Rhinolophus ferrumequinum: one gene and its partner. The protein of the gene in region 1 interacts with the protein of each later gene in a pairwise test. Links are inferred from orthologs where the notes say so. Each region holds a gene or a part of one and is shown on either strand. Other genes may lie near its edges.

Region 1 (7,067 bases):
GAGAAAACCAACTCGAGGATAAGGAGCTTAAAAAACTTGCCCAAAGTGACCATATAAATTTGAACCCCCATCTGCTGACTACAAAACAAAGACATTTTCCAATGTGACATGCAACCTCTTACACATCACTCTGAAGAACTGACTTACTCATCAGTTTACACATTTTCCTTTTCAAACACTGTAAGCTCCCTGAGGGCAGGCATCAACCCTGGTTTTGACCTCAGCATTTAGTTACTCAATACTTATTTGTTGAGTAAGAGAAGGAATGAAACTCCTTGAGAGTTGGCACCATGACTACGATTCTGAATATACTTCTTGCTTAACAAATGTAAGTGTGGTCTGATCTGTAAATCTTATTGCTGGATTTTTTTTTTTTTAAATAAACTGTGTTTCAGTACTGTTTTAACTACAAAAACTGCATAGTCATCAAAGGGAAAAAAAGATGGTTCCAAAAAATTAATACATCATTCTTACTTTACTCTCCAATAACCGGAGAGGTCGAATATTGAAGTTTATCTTCGAAATAATTTCATACCAGAAGAGCAGGTAACAGTGTGGTTTTATATGACAGAAATTCAAAAGGTAAAGTTGATTAATAATAGATGACATAAAGAAATTGAGCCCTGAATACAGAAAGCCTATTCAGCAACCAACTCACACTAACCAATAAGCAACACTCTCTTTCTCTAGCACAGTATTCTTCCACACCTGCCATTTATTGAAACCAGTAAACAGTACAGGTAAGCACAAAGCTATTAGTAAGTATACTTGCATATAAATCCAACGTCCTTCCTGCATAAAGCTAATGTGTCTGGTATGTAAAACACAGTCACAAACTACTTCCTTTCTGACACAGATTACATAGCAAATGTAATAAATCAGCAAAATTTTAATTATTTTTTTCTTTGCAGATAATTTAACATTCAAAGTGCTGGAGATTTTCCTAAATTGAACATATGCAAAAATTAGTGCTGCTTTAAGAATCTCACACTTTTTAATTTTATCTGGTGTTGGTAAAAAAAAAAAAATAAAAAATGATTATTTCTTTAACTTTTAGAAATAATAACAAGGGAGAACAAACCGTTCTCAAACAACATGATGTAGTGGAAAGTACACAGGCTAGGCATCAGGAGTCCTGGTTTTCTAGTTCTGGTTACATTACTAAATTGCTGTGTGACTTAGGGCTCACTGGCTCAGCTTTCTCATTTGTTTAAAAAAGCTGGTGGGGGGGAGGGAAACTTGAATATCTTTACAGTTGTTTCCTAAATTCTGATTTTAAGCCACTCCTATTTAATTCTTCTAATCAGTAAACTCCAAATATGTTCTTTAAGGTCTAACTTCTGAAATATGAAACACATCTGAATCGCCTGTAATAAATGGTTCAATCCCCAACTGGATGGGACAGAACACAAAGGGTAGACTCCCACCTATAAAGTTAACAATTAATCCGGTAACTTTCCAGAAACTGTCTAGTTCTAATTTCTTAAACAAGCAGGTGTAGCCTGGTTTGACATATTTAACACTACTAAGAAAAGTTGTAAAACTGCTCTGTTGACATTTCTGTAGGTGTTTCCTGGGTTCCAGCGGCACATATTCTGCAGGTGCTAACAAGCAAAGGGGCAAGAAATGGACTCAGCAGTTGCAACAAACTCAACCACAGTTCAACCCAGCCACCGCAGTAAGATGCAGCCTGACAAGGCCTACACCACAGGGCAGAACCTTCCCACCCCCAGGAGCGCCGGCAGCCAATGTAATGAATGCTTCCGTCAACAACACACATTCCCCTTCCCACAGCAGAACTGCTGGCTCCCAACCCGCCATCTGGGGTCGGAACAGGCCGCACACCACCAATCTAAGAATCGTTCTCCGGCCCCAAAAGGCCAAGAACTACTAGAGATTGCGGTTCCCCTGCGCATGGCAGTGGGGAGCGCAGTGCCTCCTCCCACCAATGCAAAAATAAATAAATAAGTGGGGAGGACAGTAGAAATCAGGCCTGGGCGAGAACGCTGGAGAAACAAACCGTTTCTCTGCAGTGGGGTACAGTAGCATTTCCTGCCCTCCTTTTGCACCCATGCACTGCACAGCATTCCCTCCTGAGATCCTAAAGGGGAACTGAAACCACCGTGTGGTCCGCTTCATTCATATCTGGGTTTCATTTCCTAACCTAACCACTCCTGAAACCTTTGGCACTGTGACGGAGGGGACCCCCCGATCAAGCGGGAGGAGGTGAAGCGAAGGCCAGGACAGGGGCCGGGTTGCTAAGATCCAGCAGCTCGTGCAAGAAAATCGCCTTTGGGCCTGAGAGTCAAGTTTGCACCAGCAGCAAGGGCGGAGGGCCGGGCCAAGCAGGGCTCCAAGACAGGCCTGCGGAGGTGACACTTCCCTGCTGCCGGTCAGCTCCGGGTGGCGGCGTTCGGCTGCCGGGGCCCGCACTGCCCGCACCTAGGGAGCGGGGCCAGGGCGCCCGTGCGGGGCCGGGAGAAGGCCTGGCCAGCAGCCAGACCCTCCCCGCGCCGCTCCCGCCTCCATCCCCACTCCCACTTCCCGGCCCGGGCCCGTGAGGTAACGTCGGTGGTGGCGACGCGGGTCTCGACCACTGACCACACATTTCTTGCCGAGGAAGGTGAAGAGGGACTCGTTCTCCTGCGGGGTGAGCAGCAGGGACCCCACGTTGGTGACCCTCCGCGGCGGCGGCTGCTGCTGCTGCTGGCCGGAGCTCATGGTGTCGCCGGCGGGGCTGGGAGTCCAGGTCCGTGTCCTCCGGCGAGTGGGCGAGCGCTCGTCCCCCCTCTCGGTGACAGGGGCGGGAGGAGGGGAGTCAGAGGCGCAGCATCTCGCTCAACTCCTCCGGCGCGGGGAGGAGGAGGGAGGCCACGGGAAGGAGGAGCCGACGGAGGGCCGCGCGGAGTAAGGGAAGCTCCCAACTCCCGCCCGGCTGGGCTCTGGCCGGATGGTCGCTGCCCTCGCACTCCGGCGACTGCGCTAAACTCCCAACTCCTCCTCCAACCCTCCTCCCGCGGCGGCGGCAGCGGCGGCGGCGGCGGCCGCACAATCCAACATGGCAGCGGGGGCGGGCGAGACCACAAGACGCAGGCCGCGGGGGAGCGCGCCGGAAACTCGGCTGCGGGCCGGGCCCGGGAGGAACCGCCCCCCCCCGCACGCGCCGCCGGCCTCGCCGCGCCGGCCCCGAGCCCCGCCCCTTCCGGCCGAGGCGCGGGCTGCGCGGTCTGATGCGAGGCTGTGGTGCGGGGTGCGGGACCAGCCTCTACTGTCGTCTCCCGGCTGCTGCGGCCCAGCGGCTGCTGTCTGGAGCGCAGAGGACGCTCGGCCCCGGCCCCGAGCTGCCGGTCCCTCTTTCACAGACGTCGACCTTTGCGAAGAGTCTGTGCGGACCCAGGCCCCCTCCCCGGAATGGCTCTGATTTCTGGGGCGCGGAAACCGGGACGCTCACACCGCACGGCAAGAAAGTCTGGAATGCGGACACGGGACACTGAAGAGAAGTGACGTGGTCCCCGGTGCTCCTCGCCGGTTTCGGTCAGAGCCGCAGGTGCCTGGGATTTCTTAAACTCTGTCCAAACTTCAATAGTGGGAGTGGAGGAACAAATAGGCCTCACCCAGCATTGTGAAAGGGAGATCTTGCTGATGGACGTTACAAAAAACAAACGCACTTGAGATTTCTACCGTCCGCCTGGCGTCTCCTCACATCGGATGAGTGTGTCTGTCACATGTAAATCCAAGATCTTTTCTTTTAAGGGTCCTGAACACGCCTTTTAACCCCTGTCTTGTGAATTGAAAAATATTCCTTTTTTCGCTTCTCATCTTTTTGTTTCTCTCAAACCCCGAAGACCTTGTTTTCTTCTTATCCAAAATGACTGTGCCCGTTTGGGGATGTCTGCCATACAGGAAAATACATCATCTGGTTTAATCGTCAGAAGTAAATCTCAGGAATTAAAAAAAAAGAAAAACTCGTATACCTCCAAATATTGAAAGTTACCCAAGATAAACTCTTCTGTTCAATAAATTTAATGTTCAACTTTTAAAACGAAGTTTTGGAATATGGAAATGATAAATACTACCCACAACAGTGAATTAGAATAAACATCTGACTTCTCCCCTTTAAACAAATCAGCATTTATTGGATAAACTTGAACCATCATGTTTGCTAATTACTCAATTTCAATAAAGTTCCCATATATTAAATTTAAGCCATCCTATGCCAAATAAAATTGGATGAAACTAATTGATTTTAACATCTCTGAGAGCTTCCAATACAAATCTCTGATGTACTAAACAGATTGATAAGCCATTATCAGTGCACTTTGAAAATATGAAACTTGAGAACTGCCCTTAATGAAGTTAAGTGGGAACAAATTGACAAAGGTAAATGCGGTCATGTAGTCCTGGGAGTCCTCACACAAAATATGGACATTTCAAAATTACATTTGATTAATAACGTTAGGGAAAATGTGATTTTTTAAAAAGCGAGTGGACTTTTAATAAAATAATTCAGTTTAGAAAAACAATAGTAGAAATGTCAACCTGGAGTTTCCTCTGAATTACAGAGCTAATAAAATAACCTAGAAGCTAAAGCAGTTAGTCTTGTATCAAACTTGAGGCTCCTATAAATTAAAACCGCAGTAATAGTGGAAAGCATTAGAAATGCTTGAGAAATGATAGAAATTAGATCCTTAGTATTTTCAAACCAGGATAGTAACAAAAATAAAGGCTTCACATAGGCCTAAGTTGGAGTTCTTGTTCTGCCATTTACAACCTTGTGGACTTTGGACAAGTTGCTTCTCTTAAGTCTTAGTTTCCTCATCTGTAAAATAGAAAATAATTTCTATTTAATAAAGGTATAGTATAAACATAATTAAACTTACCTCAAAGTTGTAAAACTTACCAGGATTACAATGTAAAGTACCTGCTACATCATGGTTACTCAAATATTACTTGTCTGTCACTCACCATCATTACCTATGGTCTACCTTACCTTCCCTTAGCTAAAGGTTCAAGAGTTGAGTTGAAATGGGTGTTTTTATCGTTATTCTATCTAAACCTGATACTTTGAAAACTGTCCTTCCTATTTAGAACTCTGCGTCATTCTCCAAATACATAGTGAATTTGGGGTATCACTTTGTGTTTGCAGAATTTCTAATTAGGGTATATGTTATGTCACATAGGCTCTATGTTCTCAGTATGCCAAAATTACAAAGCTTTTAAAACGAGAAATCTAGAGACAGAATCATATTAGTTTCTAATTAATAAAAAGTGAATGAGAGCAATTTTTATGTTGGAATGCCCGCTTTTAAAACTTGTAGTCCACCAAACCATTTTGAAGATAGTAGAAAGATGTGGAAGAGGGCTGTGAAAAAGAAGCTACGGGAGGATGGGTGAATGGACAGTAGCTATGCGTTGAAGAATCTATCCCACATGGAGAATCACTGGCTTCTAATCATTTCACAACCTCTTGTTAGCCTAAACTGTTTATTGTTTTAATTACTTTTTTTCCTTTGAGAAAATTTTTAAAATCTTATGTTTCTAAGTGAAATTTTCTGACCATTTGCCCGGTTCTTTTTTGCTTTAGAAATGAAGATGGAAAATTATAACCACCACAGGCTTTTTTTCTCAAGCCCAAACTGCTTCTTTAGCTTTTCCTCAAAATTTTAAATATGGTATTTTGTCCACAAAATTACAGTCTAAGTTCTTATTTTCAACTCCTTCATTGTTACTTTTGCTTTCATCTGGGCTTTTTTCGACTCCTTGTTCTTAAAATGTGGAAAATATAAGTGTGAACACTAAATGCGCCTTCCTTATTCTTTGGGACACGTGCACAGACAATATTTGGGGTTATCCCCCTTCCTATGCATACAAGGATTCTATTTTTCCATGTTCATCGTGAGACCAAGCAGTACTGGCTCTGTTTGTTCGAAAAGTTTTAGCAAGTCCTTTCTTTCTTTCATTCTTGATAGCATATCCTCTCTTCAGCCAAACACAAGACATCTTTCTCTCTGTTTTCTTTGGCAAGTTATTTTCTTATCTCAAATTCTTTTTACCCAGTTTGAGAAATTGGATTTGATCCAGGAAATAAGAAGGATTCTATTTCCCTTCAAGTGAGTATGTTGAAGTTTGTAACCTAGGTTAAGAATACTGTAGGGATTCTATCTTCATATACCTGTAAAATGCACATGCTGTATTATGAATACAACTAAGAATAAGGCAATTTTTAAAAGTTCTTCCACTTGACTTTCTTTGATTCAGAATCTATTCTAGTACTTTCATTTTCTTCTTTCTTTGCTACGATCCTTTAAACTACAGTCCTCATTTTTAACAAAACATTAGGATACCTTATTTATGGAAAGGAGGGCATATTTTCAGATGCATTCCCTGCCGTTATTATACATTGTAAATTTCTCCTATCCTGGTCCTTTGTTAATCCACTTTACTTCTTTACAAATATCATTGTTTATGTACTGTTACAAGTCCTCTGAAACACCCTGTTCCCCTTGCTAATATTAATAATTTAAACTGTAGTGACACCCATCATTGTAGGGGAATATAGAGGCAGCTGCACCCAGGGATCTTGGCATTCAGCAGCCGTGGCCAATTAGCAGGACTGACTTAACTATTACTGCTTGACTGGCAGAACTGAGTTATAGAGACAACAGCAGCGAGCGCGGATATGGCAAGGGGGTGATTGTCCCTTCTCCCTTGCAACCTTCAAGTGTCATGGGTTTAGAATGTTCACATTGTAAAACATCTTCACATTTTCATGTAAATGTTGCATGTGGCAGTGTTTAAGAGAATTTGTCTTGGTACTTGTTTTCCCAAGTTATATGTTAAGTATTTTAATTGTCATCAACTGAAATCTTGAAAAGTAAGCTACCAAACTGTTTTTCTCTCCCTTTTCAATTCATTTTGAATACAAGCCTCTTTGGGACTTTCTTTTTTAGGAATGGATAGTTTATTTACAACCCATTCTGATTTCTTAGTGTTAGTGGAACATTAAATTCTTACTTATGGTAGTGAATTACCAGTGATGGTAACTACCACGATATGGCCTACTCTCC
Region 2 (7,000 bases), on another chromosome or scaffold:
CCATCTTGAGCAGTAAGCTGTACTTCCGTCCTTACTATTATACCTCTATCCTCCTGGAGCTGGCAGCTATTATGGAAACATCTTTAAGGGACAGACTCTCTTTGACTTGAACTACAATTTCCTGAAGACTCTTAGTAAACCAGTTGTAGGTTGTCATTTCAGAACGGGCTGATTGGACCCAGGGCCTAGATACGGGATACTTCTCCATGTGGAGAAAAAAAGCATTTTTTTTCCTTCTTTTTCTTTTCTTTTCTTTTCTTTCTTTCTTTCTTTCTTTCTTTTTTTTTTTTACAATTGATTGTAGATTCTCATGTGACTGTGTAAGGACTTATGTTTTATTAGCTCATATATGGGGGGGATGATGGTAAAAGGAACTAGAGTCGTTGTGACGGAGGAGATCTCTCTACTAATGAACGTGTTCACTTCATTACCATCCTAGATGTATGAGGCTCATGTCTTCATTTCCTTTACAATCTAACTGAAAGCACGTGAAAAGATGATGTACTTAAAAAGGTACAAAGTGTAAATTAAAGCAACAATGTTTGGGAATGCCTACTGTGTGACAAGTATTGCTTTGGATATAGTGGCTGTGATTTCTTGACAGCTAAAATCGTAGAGTAGCCAAAATCTTTAAGATGCTTGGATAGATAATAAATATGTACACAATTGAAATATAAAAAAATTTGACCCTAGTGGAATCTCGTAGTGCTTCAGCCTTTGATCTTTAATATGTATTTTTTTTTTAATAGGCTGACTTTATCTCTAAAGATGGTTTTATTCTCTTTATCCCTGACATTACATTGTAATTGGTTCACCCAATAGATAGGGTGAGACACGTAATTTTCAAAAGCACTTGAAACCTCTCCTTTTAGTAGATTTTAGGTTTCATATTTGATCTATTATAAATGTTTTTGAAATTAGGTACCAGCCAGGTTCCCTTTCCTGGAGGAAAGAGGGTGTAGAATAAATAAATTTTGCTAAGATCTTTACAGGTCAAGTAGCCTAGTAATTTTCTTAAGTCGCAGACACCCTAATGTTATAATTTGCTTTTTTTTTTTTTTTTTTTTTTTAAAGGTAAAAGTCTACCTGTTCTTCTCTTTATTCTGTTCTCATAAAAATTTTCTTCTCTGGGCACAGTCATTATATTTTCAGAACAGCTGAAGGGAGCCAACATTCAAATTTGCTCTTAATTTCTACAAATATAGAAAAACCTGCTGGGAAATGGATACTATGATTCTCTCCCTGTCTGCTATGTAATATTATCATAAATCATGTAAATGTAGGAGGAGGAGGGGACTTAGGTGATTGTTTAGCTCTGGAAAAGAAGCTACTTCCTGCAGAAAGAGGATTTCAAAAGGCCACATAACAAAGCCAGCACTCACACAGGTTTCCTGTGGGTCGTTTCCCTTTTGCTGAATCTCACCCGAAGCCAAGGTGACGGAAGAGACATTTTCCTCTTACAAAATCTCAAATCTCAGATAATTTATCGAGCTGATCACTATGTTCAAAAAGTTATAAAATCTAGGCTATTGTGAACTTCTGAAGAATTTTATGAACTTTTAAGAAGTTAATAAGATTTGTTTTGGAAATTAAGAGAAAAAGTAAGAGTCAAAATGGAAAAACTTAGATAAGCTATCACACTGATAAGCTATCACACTACAAACTTTAGAACACTGGAAAACTATATACCTGAAAGAATTAAGTTGTGACTATAGTATCTTAACTGCCATGATTTAAAACATTTTATCCCCAATTTTGTCCTTTTGGGACATACTTGAAAATGTTTCAAATTTGATTTTTAATCTTTATTTTTACTTTTAAAAACCTATAAAAATGTTTCTTTTCCTTCAAAATACAGATTGCCTAATAGATATTTAAAACCTTTTAATACTTCCCCCCCATGCATAACCCCAAGAAAATGAAAGTGCAGTAGTAATAGTACATCACCAATTAATATAGAAAAATGAAGGTTCTAATGTTTATTAATCTTAGCATTTTCATTTATGAATGGCCTGAAATGAATATAGGAAAAGTGGCACGAACTCTTGTTTCGCCTGTTATTGTGGTTAGTGGTGATTTTTTTTTTTTTTTGGTAAAAATTGTGGTATAATTACACTACATTTTAAAATGTTCACAATAAAAAGTTGATAAATATGAGGCAAATGGCCCCAAAACCCAGAGGACATTTCAGGGTATTTCCCCCATGTTATTCACTTGATTTAAGAAGGGAAAAGTGTTACAGTACAAATTGATGTACAAATTGTTCTAATAATTCCAGCAAAGCCCTTGGCTGTATGTTATGCTAAGCTACCTGGCTAGTTCTAGGCCCGTACCCAATAGTGACGTTAGACGCGAGCTAGGCCCCTGTGAAGTTGGGTGTCGCCCCCGTATCACTCACCCGGTCTGCAGGGGTAGGTTTTCCGCCTTTTCTTACCTGCATAGTGGTCAAACACGGTGGGCACATACTCCTCTGGGAAGGCATCATTGGCGTAGCTCATCAGCAGGCAGGTTTTCCCCACAGCACCGTCCCCCACCACCACACACTTCAACATCTTCTTCTCTTCTTCGGTGCCCCCGCAGCTGCAGCTGCTGTCATTTCCCTCCTTGCAGTTCATTCTTGCGGCTCCAGCTGTGGTGACTGAGCTGCTGCTGTTGCTTCTCCTGCTTCTCGCAAAGCCCATGGAGCAGCGGGCAGCCAGCGGCAGGCTTGAGATCACTTTGCCTTACTTTGGGTACCTGGGATCATACAAATTCGTCCTTGGCAGCTGGCATATGCCCTCTTGCTTATCATACTGGTAAGGAAAGTTAACACACACACTGACTTGGGAGAATTATTCAAAGGGACTGTCCCTTTTCCCTATCAGTTTGAGTTAAGAAACCCTCATTTTCACTGAATTCTAGGGATTTCCTGCCAATCTGGAAATTTCAACAGCTTGAGGGTTTCACTCTGCTCTCCCCCTTTCCAGCCTGGCTGAAGACACAGTGGAAGTTTGCTGAATCTTCCCCATTTTCCACTTCACATCTAACATGGAGGAAAGCTGGGCTTTTTAATGGAGTTTTCCCCTTGCTTCCTCCAGCTTGCCGAGTGTCAGGAAATCATGGGTTTCCTGCTGCATTCCATATTAGGATCAGTGGGCTGGGGAAGGCTGCAACAATGGGAGCTCTGTGTGTGTGTGTTTGTACTTCTGGGGAACGCTGCCAGAACATGGAGTGGGAAAACACTAGGGGTCCCAAAGCAGACTCAAGCTGTCAGGCTTCCTGTTTCGCGTCCGCTGCTGGGGGGGCTGTTTGCCTGTGGCTGGCTGGGAAGAGGCTGACGAAAGGATGGAAACTGGGGAGTACTGTCTGCCAGAGAAACGGGAATGGTTTAAGTGAGCAGAGCGAACCACACCAGCCGTTGTAGGATAACATATGACATCATCCCTCACTGAGTCACCAGTTAAAAGTTCTGCAAATTAAAAATGGACAGTTCTTCACATACTTAAATGAAAACCTTAAGCAATTCGTCCCTACAATAAAGAAGAAAACCAACACACAAGGGGATTTATAGATGATGTAATACAGAATTGTACACCTGAAATCTATGTAATTTTACTAACAATTGTCACCCCAATAAATTAAAAAAATATATAGTAATTTGTAATATGAATGATAAATCATGCAAATACAGTATTTTGCAAACTATCAAAAAAAGAAAAAAAGAAAACCTCCCAGAGTTACACTGTTTCAAAGGGGAACATTCTTGTAGATTGTAGGTATAATATGTGTGTTCAGGATTATACATTGCCACAGTTGAGCACAACACTCAAACAAACATGTGTTCCAGGCACAAACATTTTTATGGTTGTAGCACATAAGAAATCAGTCAGATGTGGGATATTTGCATCTTCTTATTAGTGAATAAACACACATGTGCTTGGCTCACCCTTACTCTTGGAAATGCGTGTGGGGGATGGCTTTATTAGTTTGTTTTAGGTCCCCAAATGCTGCTTTCACTTTGACGGTTCCCTTTTTGATTTAGTCCTATCCCCTTGGGTCAGCCTGGCCCTCTTCAATTACAAAGGAGCCACTGGCAGCTAATTTATTTGTCTGTTGGGTCACTCAGAATGAAGCCCCTTTGAAGCTCTGCATTTAATTAATGCACTTGGTCTTAGAAAAGAAGTGGAACTCTGCAAATGATTTTGACAATGGGTCAAGTCCCTTTTTGATGAAGGAGCTCTCTGTTTCTTTGAGATTTTTGAGCAGTGATTTTTAAGAATTCAGATTATCCAATTGATTTGAGGAGGGTTTTTAATTTTTTTTGGAGAGGGTGGGAGAGAAGTCTATTTTGATATGTGACTATTGATAATATACATGTATATATGTATACATATATGTGGCTATATATACATATATATGCTACTGTATAATAAATATAGGCCTAAATTTCTTCTGTTTTGAATTATAGTAACATTTACCACAGTGCTTAGTGTCCCAATATTTCTTTCCTAGAACGGGTTGATGTTTCAGTCAGGTTGTGGTATATCTACTAGGAGGTTATGTTGTTGTAACAACTCCCAAGGCTCAATGATTTAGAATAGCATGTGTATTTCTTAGTCACATTGTATCTGTATTGTGTTTTTTTGTCACCTTCATTCAGAGATCTAGGCTGGTGGAGCAGTCACGTTGAGACCATTGGGGGTTACTGTGGGAGAGGAAGAAATTAATGTGGTGAAGTGGCATTGGCTCTTAAAGCTTCCTTCTGGAGGTGATGCTTCTGCTCTCATTCATTGGCCAAAGCAAGTCATGTACCCATGCTGGGTTCAGCAGGGTCAGAAGTATAATCCTACCATGCTCCGGGAAGGAGAGAACTACATGTTGATGAATAGCCTGAATAGATTAGATATGGCTTAGGTAACCAGAGATCATTTAGTTGAGGTTCAATTAGGAGCGCAAAAATTGAATTGTTTATGATTGGTGCCATTCTGAGGCATTTGAAGACACCTGTGGCTGCATATGATTTATATAACTTTAGTTTCATTTAATCTACCTGAAAATGCCTGAAAAGTAGGCTCAAGTGTGCAAGTGGCAGCCAAACAAATCTGTGCAGGTGAAGAAGTGATTGACAGTGTCAAGAACTCCATCCTGAAGATGAACAAGACCACTCTGAGCACAATGTGTTTGGCAGAACTTTGAGGGAGTCTGCCTTTGACCTTGTCCCTGAGATCAGACAGTAAATGTGGCATGGAGTTCTCAAACATGGCTGCCCAGCCTGGATTCCTATACTATGAATATGCCCCTGCCCACTGAACCCTGGTCTAGGAAAAAATTGAAAAATTGGATCAGGTGAAATTTTGCTACATCCACATCTAACCTAAACCTTGTGCCATCAGACACAGGTGTTCACGTTTATGCAGATTGCTACGTGGACCATAATTTCAGAGACGTTTAGAAAACTTGAGGCAGCCAGTTATGGGTCTTTCACCTCTGGCTCAAAGGATTGGTACGTCTGCTGGATTGGATTGTATGCAGAGGTGGTTTGTGGCTATTGAGAATGTTGGCTATATTTCTCAAAATAAACTTGCTTCTTTATTCTTACTGCCCCCCAAATTGAATATGTATAGGGAAAAATGATTGAGACAGCCTAGAGAAAAATGGCAAAAAAGTTAAAATGTTAATAGCCTACTTATTATATAGCTCACCTTGTCTACGTGAGAACAAATATTTCTAAATATTAAATGATTGACCTGAACCCACAGTAACAGAATCTTAGAAAAAAGTTAAACACAATTCAGTATTGTTCTTCTAGGTCCACGAGTCCATAGAATTGTGACTACTTGTCCAGGTAGAATGATCAAGTATCTACTTTAATTCCAAAGGTTTATAGATAGGAATTTAGAAGTGGTTTGAAGACAATTTGCTAAAATATTCTTTACGAGATGCCTGTACTTTTAGGATCTTGGGCCATTTGAATGGTTGAGTGATGGTTTTATAGCCATTAATTATTTGGTTTACCTCAAGCACCAAGTTTACACAAACTTGCCAGTACATGGTGAAATCTTATTGGGCGGTATTTCCTGCTTTTTCTAAGAGTTCTTAATTCCATGGCTCCTTCTTGTCCTCTGAGCTTTGGCTTCACATGAATTTCCCCAAATGCCAACAGAGCATTTTTCTGCATAAAATTCTGACTCCTCTGATTGCTTCCAGTTTTATTGTGACCTAAAAAAGAGCCCAGACTTTCCTCCCCTATTTTTTTTTCTTTTGTGCTTGAAACTCAGTTATACAGGGAAATAATGCTGTTGGATCAAATACTCTCATTCTGGATTAGCCTCTATGTAGGAGATCGAGTTTTAGGAATGTGGGATGGGCTGTGCTTACTATGAGTCCGGATACCCAGCTCTGTCACAAGTCACCCTCATTTCAGAGGAACCCCTCTGTGGTGCCTGTATGGAAGTCAGGCCTTTCATGGCGGTGGATATGGTGTGAGGCAGGAGGAGCTGCTAGCGTAGAAGTTGTGGCCTGAATCTCCCACTGGGCCGAAACCTCAGGATCAGTTGGGGCACTGCTCAGACTGAACAGGCAGTCCTAGGACTAGTGTGGATAGGAACTGCCCCTCCCCAGGGGACAGTGAGTCATTGTCATCAGGGGCACTCATCCCTGAGCCTTTCCTTAACCTCAGAAATAATTCTACAGTTGATGCTGGTGTAACATAGCTCCTCTCACAGTTACGTTAGAAAAATAAAATGAGCATTTTGAGAAGTAGAGGGTTTTTCTATGAGGCAGTAGGGTAAGCCATCAAATTCAAGATGGTAGACTCTGCTCAAATGCTACCATTCTCCCCTTCAATGCCAGGGTAAATGTCATCATGACACATGTTCTAGCTGAATCTGGACATGGCTGACAAAGGCCTCTCAACCCAGCGCTCCAGGCGTCTACCACAATCTGATGGGCATGTCAAGTAAATCCTTTTCCAACCCTGCTCAGCCTTCACCAGACAGAGCAAGTAACTCTTCCTGTAATC

Evidence for each region.
Region 2: the proteins of WASL (region 1) and RHOJ interact in binary tests that used the Homo sapiens proteins (3 or more experiments, as listed by UniProt). The two-hybrid records come from large-scale screens. The link is inferred for Rhinolophus ferrumequinum from reciprocal best matches to the Homo sapiens genes WASL and RHOJ.

Annotation. Positions count from the first base shown.
Region 1 is NC_046309.1:20,783,347-20,790,413, reverse strand, and holds the start of WASL (actin nucleation-promoting factor WASL), read right to left. Parts: upstream 3,066-7,067; 5' UTR 2,722-3,065; coding exon 2,602-2,721; intron 1-2,601. UniProt on the Homo sapiens protein: Regulates actin polymerization by stimulating the actin-nucleating activity of the Arp2/3 complex. Involved in various processes, such as mitosis and cytokinesis, via its role in the regulation of actin polymerization.
Region 2 is NC_046289.1:32,317,051-32,324,050, forward strand, and holds the start of RHOJ (rho-related GTP-binding protein RhoJ), read right to left. Parts: upstream 3,097-7,000; 5' UTR 2,682-3,096; coding exon 2,435-2,681; intron 1-2,434.